Linked DNA regions of Macaca fascicularis. The protein of the gene in region 1 purifies or fractionates together with the protein of each later gene. This does not show direct contact. Links are inferred from orthologs where the notes say so. Each region holds a gene or a part of one and is shown on either strand. Other genes may lie near its edges.

Region 1 (5,092 bases):
AAGTGAGGTTATGATAGTGTCACTATAAATAATGCTGAAATTTCTTACATGACTAGACTCATTTAAATATCATCTGTTCTTAGTTTTGGGCATGAAAGCATTAAAGGCAACCAGAGTATTATCTATGATTATGTTTAAATTCCTAAGCCCAAGCCAGAGTACGGTTTCCTGTAAGTGTACAAAAAAGATAGTTTTGAAATGTTATGATTTCCCAGTTTCCTCGAGTTTCCTCATTCACATCTCATTTCTTTTCATTATAACATTAAAGAAAGTGAAATGGTGAAACTGATGAAAAGCTGAGGAACTCTCACCATCAATCCTTTCTATAGCTCATTCAGTCTCCATCCACCTACAAGTCTGATAATCTTCTGCTCCTACTTGATGTGAATCTCCTAAGGCTTTTGTAATTTTCACAAATTTTAAAATTTGCTCATTATAATCTTAAAACTTAGCTAAGAGTCCTAACCCCAAAGTGCTGATCCTCAGTGAGGTAATAAGCTTGCACCAGGATTCTTTTTTTTTTTGTAAGTCTTACTAAACAGTGAGCTTAGTGACACAGTTGATTTACACTTGGCTGCAAAATCTTCTTCTCACTGGGGAACAGCAACAAGTTTGGAAATCGTAATTTGAACAGCACTGCTCTTAGAATAGCATTTTCTTCTCAAATATCCATGTGGGTTAAATACTGAAGTGGAGGAAATGCTGCAATTTGCTCAGTGAATTTTTATAGCACTATGTATTTTACAACCTCTTACCCACCCGCAACATGTAACAATTGAGATGAAAAACTAGTACAATCACAAACATTTATCAAAATAAATTTATCAAAATAAACGTAAAGTAAGAAATTGTCGTCAATTGGAATAGTTTAAATAACATTAAATCAATCTAGAATAAAATTATGTAAAAACGTAAATTTATACTCTCACACATATATAAACCATGATTACCACTGTTGGTTTGAGGGACAAGGAAAGAAGTTTTATGATGCTTGTTATCTGTGGACTACTTACTTGTGTGGGTGCCTTTGTTGGCATTTTGGATACACTCTAGATTTGGCAATTTTTCATTTGACAAAAATGCTTGTGCAATGGCTGTATAAAAACTTCGTGCTACACCACTGCCCTCTCCTGGCTCATCCTTAAATGTGACTTTTACTCTGTGTACAGCCATTGGTGTAGTAGCACATCTTCGACCAAAGTGATTGTTAAGCTGCCTCATAGTCTGCTGAATGAGAAGATCTCGATCCCGATCAACCTATTAAAACACATCAAGAAGTAGTAAATTCAATGTTGGAAAGTAGTTAGAATTTTTTGTAGTTTGAATTTTTCTATTTTCAATCTGAAAATCTAGTTTTAGCTTTTCCTTGAGAGTTTAAAAAACTACAAAGTAATCAGAGTTCTCAGAAGCTTATCCATTACGAAATACAATGTTTAAACCATTAAAGCACACAAGAAGGTCTTGCAAATTAAATCAGGACAACAGAATTTAATTCAATTCTAACACTTTCTTTCAAAGGTTTATTGGAAAACAATAATCTTGTTCAATTTTGGGATACACCAGAATACCAAATAATCAGAGATGTTAAAAAAAAAAAAAACAGAAAAAAACACAGATGAATTCCTTGATGACAAGCTAAGTGGGCGGGAGGCTGGAGGGGAATTAACCAAACTGGAAAATTGTTTGCATCTTTTCTCACAAAGATATATATAATCATTAATGAGTGTGTCTATCACCTGTAGCTACATAAAAAGCCTCTGAAATCTGAGAGAAAGCCAACTTAGAAAAAAAAATGGGCACATCAACTGAGTTAAATACAACTATCCTAAATATATGAAATAATGTTTAACTTTGCTCAAAATAAGATAAATTCAAATTAAAACTATACTGAGGTGCTATTTCTTACCTATCAGATTAGCAAAAATCTAGAAGTTTAACAAATGCTGGCAAGACTGAGGCAAATCATGCATTCTCACATTGATGGTGAAAATGCAAAATTATGCAACTGCTATGCAGAAGTATCCGTCAATGTCTAGCAAAATCACATGCACATACTCTTTGACCCAGCAATTCCACGTCTAAGCATCTATCTCAGGGACACACTAGCAAAAAAACACAAGGCCATTCATCACACTATCTGTAATAGCAAAAGACTGGAAATAAGCCTGAATACCTAGCCTGTAAGGGATTAGCTGCAAAAACTGCGATAACAACCATAAAAGTGCAGTATATTAAGCAGCTATAAAAGGAAGGTAGAACATTTCACATTTTCTCTGGGATATACTATTAACTGAGAAAAGCAAGATGGAATAAAATGTATAGTATGTTTGGGGAGGTGGGAGGAAGTATGTAATTAATACACACATATGCTTATATGTTTTAAAAGGGAGGGAAGGAAATAAACTTGAAAAAATGGGTAAAAGAGACAAGAATAGACTTATATTCATTCTTTTGTAGAGTTCACTCTGCCACACTGTAGATATTTTACATTGATTACAAAATAAAACCAAAAGAGGAAAAAGGAATCCCTAAAATCTGAAAGCAAAATGAAACAAAAGGTCCTAATCATATAGAGCTGGTAGCAAAACCTACAAAGAGAAATTACTTCAAGTGACTTTAAAATAAACCTCCTTTAACTGTGTTATCTCTAACTGTATATGATCTAAGTACAAACATCTGCAAATAAATCTTTAATTATTTTGAATAATCATTTTGTTAGTGGTAGTGTTGATGTTATAATTCTTTTTAAGAGACAGAGTCTCTCACATTATGTTGCCCAGGCTGTCCTCGAATTCCTGGACTCAAGCCATCCTTCCACCTCAGATTCCAGTGATGTAATTCTGACTGCTACTGTGTATGTTGTGGCATTAAAACAAATGAGTAATTTGATTAATGTTGTTGGGAAGTTGGATATTCAGTCTGAAAGAAAGGAGATAAAGACTTAAGATCTAAGAAGCAAGGCCAGGTGTGGTGGCTCACACCTCTAATCCCAGCACTTTGGGAGGCCAGGGCAGGTGGATCACCTGAGGTCGGGAGTTTGAGACCAGCCTGGCCAACATGGTGAAACCCTGTCTCTATTAAAAATACAAAAATTAGCCAGGCATGGTTGCAGACACCTGTAATCCCAGCTACTCAGGAGGCTGAAGCAGGAGAGTCTCCTGAACCCAAGAGGTGGAGGTTGCAGTGAGCCAAGATCATGCCACTGTGCTCTGGCCTGGGTGACAAAGCAAGACTCCGCCTCAAAAAAAAAAAAAAAAAAAAAATCTAAAAAGCAAAAATAACAAAAACAACCTTGTGGTCCTACATCTTGAATTTGAATTGGGAGTATCAATATTAATTCATTATTTTATTTTTTTAAAAAAAGAACAAAATAAAATGCACTGCCAAACTGTTATCAATTAAAAAGGCCTAGAAACCATGATCAACCCAGTAGCAATTTGCAATCTTAGAGCACAGACTGTAATCTCAAAACACAATTTCCTACTAAAAGGAATCAAGGCTACTTTAAGAAATGGCTGATTTAAGGTCTGCGACAGGAAATGCACAAGATGAAACATACCAGGAAGTAAGAAAGTTATCAAAAATTACTGGGCCAATGCCAAAAGGACTGAGGAATCAAAATTGACTCAAGACTCCCATTAGCCAAAGAAGACACAATTTGAGCATCAATATGAATAATAATCTCAATGGAATTAAATACATAAAAAAATCTTTAAATCAAGGCATGCATAATGATACTTAAAAACTAAAACAAAAAAATTCATAGAGGATGCTAGGGAACCAAACTGCCAGAGAAAACCACTATTCTAAATTTGATGGTTACAATAAGAAAAAAATAAAAAGAAACCACACACACACACACACACAAATAAAAAATAAATTTGGCAGTTTAACATGTCTTTTATTTTCTTTAATTTTTTAATTATAAGTACATATACCTAAGTAAAGCTACTGTTATTTTGTATGTTTTAAAATTTATATAAATAGCATGCTACAGGTATAGTATAAGAAAATCTAAATACCTTTACCTCTAGTGATAAATCTCTTGACTGCTGGTTTCTCAGTTTTTCCATTTCTCTACGGAATTTTGATTCTTTTACCTCAAAACCACCCAATTCAGTCAGGATCTTAAAAAAAAAAAAAAAAAAAAAAAAAAAGCATGACAGATTATTCCCTGAAATATGTGCTCATCAGGCAGAATGGAATTTAAAGTGCACAAAATACATACTGATCCAGGTTCTGCTCCAACATCTTCCATGAATACCCTGCCGAACAGTTCTAAAGAAAGGCGCCAACGTCCTAGCAGCATATCATGGGAAATAACCATTCCCATAAAGCTACACTGTGGCCTGTAAGAAGTTTAAGGGAAGGGGCGGGGCGGGGAGGAAATACTTTAGCCAATTTCAAAGACTGATGTTTTTCGTTCAATGGTAGTAACTTACTTTATTTATTTTTTTTAATATTCTGAGGTCTTAACTTCTTCAAACTGCATCCTAACAGAGAACTTTTCCATAGCTACTTGTTCCCCACAGAACTTATTATTTTTCCTCCCTTATTCCTTCTGTCTTCTACATACGGATAAATCCCTGGGCTATGTCTTACCTTCATCTTTCATTTTATCTCCTCTCCTTAAAGTCCAATGTCCATCTCCATTTAGGTGACTCCCAGATTCACCTCTACTTCAAACTTGCACCATGAACCAGAATTTCCATTTGTTAAATAAATATGTCCACGTCGATGATGCTCAATTCAAACTCAGCATGGCTAAAACTTAATATGGCTTCTTCACCACAATGACAATTCTGATTTTTTTTCAATAGTACCATCTCTTTCCCTAATGCCCTGACTTAGAGCAGATTTTAATTTTTCTTCCTCCTGTTCCATCAAAGTAATCAAGTCCATCTTAAGTCTCTCTTCCTTTCCACCATGTCCTTTCTATCCCCAAAGTCAACATTCTGCCTCAGCATCTTTCCCCCAACTAACTGAAACTATTAATAATGACAAACACCTTTCTAACTGGCCTCCTTACCTCTAACTCTCTCCAGTCTGTTTCTGCACATTCTAACCACCTCAATTCAATCCATACTGCTTC
Region 2 (5,092 bases), on another chromosome or scaffold:
GTAAAACTCTATTCCGTTTAAAGAGCACAGAGAATGATTTTCCACCCTTCCCATTCCAACCCCCTACATATTATAAACACGGTAACTACGTACCTGCAACTGATTATATATATCACGTGTTTTGATTAATGGGAAACCCCTAAAGAGATATTGATAAATTAAGTTATATTTTGATGTAAATACACCACCAGTTAACACTAGGTAATAACACTTGCTAGTATTATGTAGACTATCCATACATAACTGTGCATAGAAATAAATCACCTCCAGATAAGGGCCTGGAAAACTCTGCTATGGAGAAAATTAAACAATTTAGCAGAATGGCTTTGGGATAAGTCTCTGAAGATGCATGTAGTTCTTATGTTCAGGATGGTTCAGATTTCCAATTTAACTTCTTTAACTGGTGATATTAATTGTTCTCTAATTCACAACTCCTTGTGACCAAGATGGGACTTGAAATGAGTAAGTATCTCAAGAAGACATGAAACTGCAGTTATTAAATGTAAGTGTAAAGACCAGGGCCTCAGCACTACAGTTTATGCAATAATAATTCACATTACAGTTGTAAAATAAGTATAGTCATCAGTTGCCTAATAAAGATTATACATATTCAATTTAATCTGAGCAACTGAACAGATATTTCACATAGCACCTATTTCCAGTCCTATTTAAAATCAGTTCTCTGTCTTCTTAAGCAATTGTTAATCTCCAATTTCTTGAATACTAAAAGTCATTTGAAAACAATTTATAGTAATCTAATTCATTTATTAAGCATAAAATTATAGTACAACATTTTAAAAACATTCTTCTGACAAAAATTACTATGAATAGCTACCCCCTAGGTAACTGGCTAAAACTAGTTATATCTGGTTTGATTCACTAAATATGATTCACTAAAATGAGTTAGGCCAGTTGGCTGAGTTAGATTAAGTCTAATCAACACTCTCCTATGCTTTACAATGCCCTTTCCCCAATCTTAAATATCCAAATTCCTACTTCTGTCCTATAGGACTTGGTTTAACTGCACATGCTTTAAATGAAACCTTTCCTCACCTGCACAACTGGAGATAATTTCAGTTTCCTCTGGACTCCCACAAGGATACAGCTTGCTGTGACACTTAATAACTTGAAACCCTACTTAAGATTATTTTTTGTTTTTCTTCCTTAAAGGATTCATGAGGCAGAAGCCACATGAGTCATTTTTACCCTATAGACATAAGCAGAGAACTCTCACATAATAGAAGCTCCAAAATAAAGAATTTTGAATCCCATTTTTATCCTAAAAGATAGAAAATAAAAATACCCTACCTGTGCCTTTTTGCACGTTCTGCAGTACGCCATGGCAAGAAACCAGACACACCAGGTGGTAGAGGTGCGGGCGCATATTCTTTACCAAGGGAGTGTTTTCTGCCACTACTTACAGGTTTCTTTGTAGCCAATCCTACTTGAGAAAGTGTTAAAAAGAAAGAATTAAGATGCACTAAAGGTCTACAGATTAATTAGCACATGTGCATACTCTTAAAAGAATACCAATGGGCACCTGACAATGACACCAAGGCCATTAAATCAGGATCAATTTGTAAATATCTTTTTACATAGGCCACTAATAAATATAAGAATAAATATATTTTAATATATTTAAATATAAGTTAAAAATGTAATAAATATATAAAAATTAAAAATATAAGTTGTCTAGAGTAACAAGTTATCACTTTAACTAAAATATAACTTTAATATATGAGACATGCAGAGCATGAAAAAGTAAATAAAACATGTAACCCAAAGAATGAAAGATTATATGTGATACATTTCATTATGCATTATGCAGAAATATTGTTATTAAATCTCAGAATATTTTTGGCATTCCTGAATCTCAAGGACAGAACATAGATATACCCATGACTCCTACCAAACAGAACCTTCTGAATTGGACCAAAATTTCAATGTGAGATTAATTTTATCATGGAAAAATTATCCAAGTTATAAGAGTGAAGGTAGCTGGACTAATTTTATAATGTAAAAACTATCCAAGTTGTAAGACTGAAGGTAGCTGGGTAGTAGGTGAGTCAATGTTGCCGCCTGTATGTCTGTCCACCTTCAGTGTTCATTTGCTTTTATAGAATACAAAACAAACACATGAAACCTATTGGATAAAAGAATGAAGCATAAAGTCTTATCCTACATTTCAGTATTAAAGAGTCAAGTATCTTTTTATGAAACATTTGGTAGCAAAAGCTAGACCTATTAATATTTTATTTAAAACAAATTATATATTAAAATTCACATTTAAATATATGTTTCTGATATCGCTGAGAACAAATAATACAAGTTTATTAAAATGGTTATATTTATCCTTCCAATCTATTTTACTATGTAAGATCTACTTTAGCAGCTTTAGGACAGCATCTACAAGAACGTGTATGTGGTAATACAGGACAAATATTTCCCATAGTGTAGCTTATTGATAATCACCACATCATGTTGTGCCATTTCTCTGGACAAATTTATATACCTCTTAAAATATATAGGAGCTCAGTTCATTGTATGCTGTTATTAATATAATTATCCCAAAAAAATGTTCCTGTGTATTGTTTGTGGTGTGTGTAGAAAGTAATGCAAATATAATTTTTTTTTTTTTTGGAGGAGTCTCACTCTGTCGCCCAGGCTAGAGTGTAGTGGCACAATCTTGGCTCACTGCAACCTCCACCTCCCAGGTTCAAGCAGTTCTTCTGCCTCAGCCTCCCGAGAAGCTGGGATTACAGATGCACACCGCCACACTCAGCTAATTTTTTGTATTTTAGTGAAGTTGCCCAGGCTGGTCTCCAACTCCTGAGTTTAGGCAATCCACCCGCCTCGGCCTCCTAAAGTGCTGGGATTACAGGCGTGAGCCACCGTGCCCAGCCACAAACAGAAATTTTAGTTAAAACCAAACTAATTTACTTATCTTGTTAGATGATGAAAAAAATTATAGTGGAAGTTTCCTATCTTCTGTCTGCACACGTAATTGCAATATGAATGTAACATAATTTACATAAATTATATAACCCCTATACTCACTGACACCTATTAAATATATAGCCAGACACTGATTTGGCTTACCTCTGTGTCTCCAAATAACTGAGGCAAATACAAAAAAAGCCCAAGAAATAAAGTTACTCTTAAAATAGCTCAGTGAGCTTGTAAACTTCAGTTACATTTCCAATTTCTTTAATCATGCTAAGAAAAAAGATTTTTTGAATTCTCATTCAATGATGTCCAATTATATACCACTAGCTACTAAAATTATAGTATTTCCAATGTTTTATATTTTATGTTAAATTGTTTTATATCTTAGCCATTTTTAAGCATACAGTTAGTTCAGTGATATTGTCAAGTGATAGCTTTTAAAAATTTCAAGTAGCATCCAAATAAAAGATTATCTGGTATTAATTGTTTGGTGATCGTAATGTACAGGGTATGTAACTAAAGTCACCACAAACCTTTTTCTGGGAAACTGGCAGATTATAAACATAAAAAAATTATTTTGTTTCCTCTGTATTAGTCTTCATGGTTTTACTGTTTCAAAATTCAAAGTTACTTACAAGAAAAGGTCACTTTCATATTAGATTTGGCTTAACTTATTCCACTATCACTCATTCTTATCAGTAAAAAAAGGCTACTTATGACTAAAGATAATGTGTTCTAGAAAATAAAAGTTAAAGACTCTTTAAAAACAAAACGAAAATATCAGTAGAACTAGATTATACCAAATTTATATATTCAGGAGAATGTGAAATTTATGTCATTAGTTGATAAAGAGTTTATAAAGTTTTCTTTCATTACTCTTTGTCACAAAATTATAGACAATTTCAAAATTCTAGACTGTTATTTGGCAGATTAAATAAACTATAAATAGCAAACATTTACGGAATGTTTGTCTAAAATGTTCCATCTCTGGGTAATAAACTTACCTGCAGTATTGTTTTATAAGGATTACATACGATTTAAGGTTTTTTCATCATTGAAAGAAGCAAGGTGCTACCTGATTCAACAACTTTGGGTAAGAATTTGCAAGGAAGGAGGAGGAAACAAAGGGAAAAAAGGGAACTGGGAAGAGATTTTGTTTTCTATAGTATGAAAGGATAATTTTTCATTAACAACAACAACAAAATCATACAAACGCACTGCTGCTAAAACTGTCATCAAAGTGCATCCCAAATTTCAACTGCAAAGTATCAGAAGTAATCATCAATCAGAAAACATATCTAAAATCATCAATGTTGTATGAAAAACAAATAAGGGTAATTTTTAAAATGGAAGCACTAGCATCCCTTTCCTAATGATTCATTTACTATTTCTACATTCCATAAATTCTCATAATCAGAATAATTATAGTCCTAATAATATGCACAGAGTCAAAATTGGTTGTTACCGTCAATATCATAAATGAGAAGAGATTTTGATTTTAACACACTAGAACACTAGTAGCATTAAAAAGCCAAGACCAAAAAGGTTACCAATTCTAATAGTAGCTTTTCCTTTGTGACCACTTCCTAGAATTATAGTTCTCTTTTTCTGTTTAGCAGTTTTGGATGGTTCCTTCACTGATGGAGAAGTTATCCACTGGTACTAAAAGAGAGAGAATAAACACTACATTTCAGTTACAGATCATTTATGAGGGTTAGATCTTAAATGGAAATTGTTAAGATATTCTAAGTTAATAAAAGGTTTGCAATCAGCAGTTCTGGGACCCAAAATTAAAGAATCGTATGGTATTTACAAAAACAGAAAAGACATTTGATTTGACTGTAAATTTAAGATGGCAGAAAAGTGCCTTAATAGTTTCATCTTATTAAAAACAGACAAAAAGCTGGGTACAGTGGTATATACCTAGAATCCTAGCTACCTAGGAAGCTGGGAAGGGGGAAGATCGCTTGAGCTCAGGAGTTTGAGGCCAGATTGGGCAATATAGTGAGATCCCAGAAGAAAAGCAATTAAATAAGAATTATTTCTAGAGAAATAAAACATGATATACCTCTGATTTAGCACTGCTTCCATTCTGAAGAACTTTTTTGATAACTGCTTTCATCATAGAATGATCTAAAGTAAAATA
Region 3 (5,092 bases), on another chromosome or scaffold:
AAGAGGAACAGAGAGGAAAAATGCAGAGAAAAGGGAGGAACAGTTCATGGAATACAATTCTAAATTTAGGTGCAAAAGCAACTCTGTAATATGAGGCTTCTTTACAAAACAGCTTGCCGATCATACTAGAAAATTTGGAGGAACACACACGTTTCCATTTCCATTTATCCACTAAAAGCTGCTTTGCCAGTTTTTAGAATGTCAGAATGCTAACTGGGCAGTTTAAACCTTGGGGATCTTATTTTGTATTTGTTTCAGCACTAGAGAAAAATCTCTAAGGTACAGTTTTTCTTAGGATATCACTTTCATTCTGACTGTTCTCCTCCCACTACCCCACCACCCAAATTTATGAAAAACGGAAGCAGGACATGCTACACCTGTGCATGGACCTGGAGCATGGAGGGAAAAGGAGGGCCTTACGGGGCTGTCACCCTGGGGAGGATATAACATGAACCATAAAAACATAGTGAATGTCTTTGACACCAATCTGTAAATGCGTGGCAGTCATGAAGTAATCAATGGCCTGCCACTGATGTTATTATTCTGCCACACTAAATACAGTAAGGCTCATTGTACTTTTAGAACACAAAAAGTTTCCGAAAGTATAAAAACTTAAAGCATTGTCCTCATGTATTGATAAAAACAAAATGAACAACTTTCTTACATTAAAATTAAGTGCTGAAAAGATACAAATGAGTAGAGTTATTGAGCAAATAAAAACAGGTCTGAGCTACTCCTTTTCAACCCAATAAGGCTCAGCAAAGTTGTATCTTTCAGATTACCAGCATCAGGGGACATGAGCTCAGCTAACGAGTTTTGGCAACACTGTCCTCTGCTGAATATTCCCGTTGGCATCTGTCATCTGCGCCAAATTAGTCCTCAGTTTGGAAGCTGAGCTGGAAGGTGGAGGTAACTTGGATATAGATGTGATAGCACCGGTGCTCTCAGTTATCCTTTTCACTGACGTTTTCTCCCCGGTGGGAGGCTTTGGCAATCGCCTCCTCAGCCAGGGGTGCCGCAAAGCCTGGCCTGGGGTCATGCGCACTGCAGGATCCCACTCTAAACACTGTTTTAAGAAGTCAAGGAAAAGGGGATCGTCACACCCCTTCAGCGCGTTCCCCCACTCTCTGCTCTCCGGTGGGCCCCTCAGTTTCCCCCTCCGGGAACGGCCTCCGTTGAGGACCACAGAGCCATCTGAGAGAGTCGTGACAGTGCAGTAACGGGGGTAACCCTTGGAGCTCACAAAATTTTTGGCTCGTTTGGACGCATCCAGCAGTTTCTGCGAGGGCATGCCCAACAGTTCAATCATACAGGCCAGCTGGTCCCCTTCATCCTCCCCAGGCAAGAGGGGGTAACCCGTCAGGAGCTCAGCTAAAATGCAGCCCAGGCTCCACATGTCAATGGGCATGCCATACCTGGCCCCAAGGATCACTTCTGGAGCCCGGTAAAAACGCGACTGGATGTACGTGTAGACACGCTGATGCTCGTAACAACTGGAGCCAAAATCAATCACTTTAATACCACTTCTACCCTGCTGCTTTAACAAAATGTTCTCGGGCTTAAGGTCACAGTGAATTATTCTGTTTTTGTGCAAAGCATCCAAGCACTGCAGAATCGAGTGGGCAAACTTGCGAACCAAAGGCAGGCTGAAGCCCTGGAATTTATTCTTCTTGATGAGCTCATAGAGGTTCATGCTCAGCAGCTCAAACGTCATGCAGATGTGGTTGCGGAAGGTGAAATTCTCCAGCATATGGATGACATTCATTGTGTTATCCTTGTCCTGCTTCCGCAGGTGTTCCAGGATTCGGATCTCCTCTGCTGCTTGCCTGTGGAAGCGCTTCTCATTCCGCACCATCTTTAGGGCCACGTGCTGGTGGACTTTGTGATCGTAGGCCTTGACCACCTGCCCAAAGCTCCCCTTCCCAATGACCTTGAGGACCTCGTACCTGTAAGCCACGTGATCATGGGGCACCTGCACATATGATCCCTGGTCATCATCATAGCCACCATTGTTGGGCCCACCTGTCATGCCCTGGCGCTTCTTAGCATTTAGACCCAAGAAATATATTTCAGGGTAGCTGAAAATCTCATGGTGTTCAAAGGCTGTGAGTTTTTGCATGTATTGCTTCATTGCTTGTTCAGGTGTCATGGGGGTGGCTTTCACCTTCCCCATGCCTTCCATGGACTTCAGAGACGTGGAGCTCCCCTGCCGTCTATGAATGCTGTCCAGCTGCCGCTCTGGCACCACTGGCAAGCCCGTTTTGCCCACTGTTGTAAGCCCATTTGGTTGTGTCGTGAGCACTGTCCGCTTGTTACTGTTATCCTCAAACAGCTGTTGAACCTGGATCTGTCCATGAGGGTGGCTGCCAACATGCAGGTGATCATTCATTGTGTGCTTACTGCCGCCAATCTGGAATTCAGACAGGAAATATAAATAGAAAAGAAGTGGTGTCTGTTCACACGGGGTATAATTAACCCCCATCAGCAACCACCCCCTCCACCCTACCTTTACAAAATCCCACTTGGATTGAGTAAAGGCCACAAAACATGTGATCCTGAAAAAAGGACCTCATAAATGCCATGCCTAACAGAGAAGATGGTTTGCTGTACATATTCAGGGTTCCCCACGGAGGCAGAGACCATAACTTTATCATTCTATATCTGACACTTAGTATAGGGCCTGGCACATCATAGATGTTCCACTCAATCCACACTTGATATAAAAATGAAACAGGATACAGAAAAAACATGCACACATAAGACTCTATGTTGGCTCCTCCACCCCCAGATTACAGCACCTTTCATATTTCATCTAGTAGTTTATTAACATGAGGACAGGGACCATGTCTGTCTTGTTCACTACTCTTCCCCTAATACCTAGAGCTCTATCCTGAAAACACTTCATCACCAGGACTTCCCCTTTCCTTGAAAATCTGATGAAACCTAAGTGCACACATGATCCAGTGACAAAAACAAAAACCCTGTGTTTTAGGCTTGAAAGATTCCCATGTAGATATGCGCCACAGTGTCTTATAAACCCCGAACCTATTTTTAAAAGTTCCCAGGCTTTACTAACTGTAATAACCATTTAAGGCATTCAGCCCAACAAACCAAGCAACAACCACACTGTTTGGCCTTCCTCCAGAGGGGTCAGGGGCTCAGCTCTCTGAAGATGTCCATTTCTACGACCTGCTGGGATACTCGAGGTTTCCAAACAGGAATCCAAAGCAGCAACCTCTTGTTTCAGGTACGCATGCCATCCCTGAGCATTCCTGTCTAAACTCTACCAATGGTGTGAGCCAAGGGGCCCCAGCCCTCTACTGACAATCTTCTTGGGATTTCCTTTAAGCATTATGACTGCTGAGAGGTAATGGGTAGGAGAGGACTGGCAGCCAGGATCCTCTCCCAGTTAGGAATTCCTGCCTTGGACAACCCCAAGTCTTAAAGCAGCCTGGGAGGTGATTTTTGTATGAAATCTTACATCAACTTGTCATCACAATCCACCTCATTCATTCAACTGGTGTTAACAGAAGGCTGGCTGCCAAAGTGACAGAGTCCCTGCCCTCCAGGAGCTTACAACTAACTAGATGAAGTCTGTTGCCATCAGTATTTTTTCTATTATCTCTTTTAAATCCTACTTTTAGGGCTTTACCTACTACTGAAAGAGCAGAAGGGCTGTGTATATGTAACATAGTAATTCAAAAATGATTTGGGAACACCTGGATTATAAAATGAAATTCTAACTCCTTCTTACTAACAGACTAAGATGTTCACATTTTCTTTATTGGATACATAATATGCACAATGACTGTGTGGAGAGTGAGCTTCCTCTCTGCCCACTTCTAACTAAAACAAAACAGAAGACAATACTTGGGGCCTGTCTGACTGTGACTTCATATAGGCTCAGGGATATCATTTCTCAGACTTATAACTGAGCTTTTTTATTAAACTCATAGATGATACTCCGTGCTAGCTGATCTTATATTCAGTAAGAGTAGCTAGAAAGGTTATTTTACCCTTGTTCTATGTCAAAAGCAGGGCAGTCCATAAAAATGAATCAGGCAAGTCTCGGGCATATATACAAGAGGTACAGGCTTGTCCAATGCTTTTCTTCCCCAGCCTCGCTCTCTGCACCCTCTCCTGTCCACTGTGGTCTTTCAAACACTAGGGAATAAAGGGGCCTGAATCAAAATATCTCTCTCCTAAAGAACCATTATCTTCAGAGTGGAGTGGTGATATTTCAGAAGAAAAATCCACATTACCTGTATACATGCTATTAAAAAGCACAAAGCTGCTTCATTAGGACAAAATTAACCTTGGGGCTTTAGAGATTTCTAAAAACACAGCAAAGTAAAACCAAGCCTCCAAAATTTACTTTAAGCAATTTCTGTGTTTCGCATAATTTAATACATGCTCACAAATGTTTTAGTAACTAAAACTAATGAGACTGCCAAGAAACGACCATCTTCTATATCTCCAAATGCCTTCTCTTGGTCTCCTTTGCAGCATCAACTACTGGTTCACCTAACCTTAGGTGGGTTCAAGAGTTCCCCAGGGTTCAAGCCTCGATTCTCGTGGCTTCTTACTCCCATAAGCCCCTGCAACTGATCCTGAACACAGCCAGGGCTTCAGCAACTGCCCATGGCCTGAGGTTTGCACATTTGTTCCTTGAACTCAGACCTGCCAAGGTGCTATCTCCTGAGTGCAAGACACACATATCCAACTATCAATCAGCTCCCTCTCCCATAAGCAACTCAAACTTAACTCATTATTTTTCTACCAAACTGGTTTCCCACTCCCATAATCCTCCATTTTTGATCAACAGAAGGCTTCCCCTCCATGTAGTCAGTCACTCAGGCTATCCACCTGCAAATGAATCCTCAGCACTGTGCGCCTGGAAAACCTCTCAACACCTCCCTCACCTAAGATGCATCATTACTATCCCACGCCCTTTCCATCAACACTGCCTCATCTCACTCTCCTGATGTCTTTCACTGGGACAACTGAGGCAGCATCGTAAGTCTAGAATTCTAAGTCTAGAATTCCTCAAATCTCTTCTCCATAGTGCTTCTAGAGTTAACCATTTAAAAAT

What was found. The genes of interacting proteins can lie anywhere in the genome.
Region 2: the proteins of UBR5 (region 1) and CEP78 purify together in Homo sapiens (affinity purification with western blotting; 3 studies listed by BioGRID, with this or other methods). This does not show direct contact. The link is inferred for Macaca fascicularis from reciprocal best matches to the Homo sapiens genes UBR5 and CEP78.
Region 3: the proteins of UBR5 (region 1) and DYRK2 purify together in Homo sapiens (affinity purification with western blotting; 3 studies listed by BioGRID and IntAct, with this or other methods). This does not show direct contact. The link is inferred for Macaca fascicularis from reciprocal best matches to the Homo sapiens genes UBR5 and DYRK2.

Annotation. Positions count from the first base shown.
Region 1 is NC_088382.1:111,883,550-111,888,641, forward strand, and holds part of UBR5 (E3 ubiquitin-protein ligase UBR5), read right to left. Parts: intron 4,350-5,092; coding exon 4,229-4,349; intron 4,128-4,228; coding exon 4,023-4,127; intron 1,258-4,022; coding exon 1,014-1,257; intron 1-1,013. UniProt on the Homo sapiens protein: E3 ubiquitin-protein ligase involved in different protein quality control pathways in the cytoplasm and nucleus. Mainly acts as a ubiquitin chain elongator that extends pre-ubiquitinated substrates.
Region 2 is NC_088389.1:108,871,945-108,877,036, reverse strand, and holds part of CEP78 (centrosomal protein of 78 kDa), read right to left. Parts: intron 5,080-5,092; coding exon 5,015-5,079; intron 4,609-5,014; coding exon 4,497-4,608; intron 3,118-4,496; coding exon of another isoform or gene 2,966-3,117; exon of another isoform or gene 2,626-2,965; intron 1,445-2,625; coding exon 1,309-1,444; intron 140-1,308; coding exon 94-139; intron 1-93. UniProt on the Homo sapiens protein: Centriole wall protein that localizes to mature centrioles and regulates centriole and cilia biogenesis. Involved in centrosome duplication: required for efficient PLK4 centrosomal localization and PLK4-induced overduplication of centrioles.
Region 3 is NC_088385.1:74,411,918-74,417,009, reverse strand, and holds part of DYRK2 (dual specificity tyrosine-phosphorylation-regulated kinase 2), read right to left. Parts: intron 2,411-5,092; coding exon 803-2,410; 3' UTR 1-802. UniProt on the Homo sapiens protein: Serine/threonine-protein kinase involved in the regulation of the mitotic cell cycle, cell proliferation, apoptosis, organization of the cytoskeleton and neurite outgrowth. Functions in part via its role in ubiquitin-dependent proteasomal protein degradation.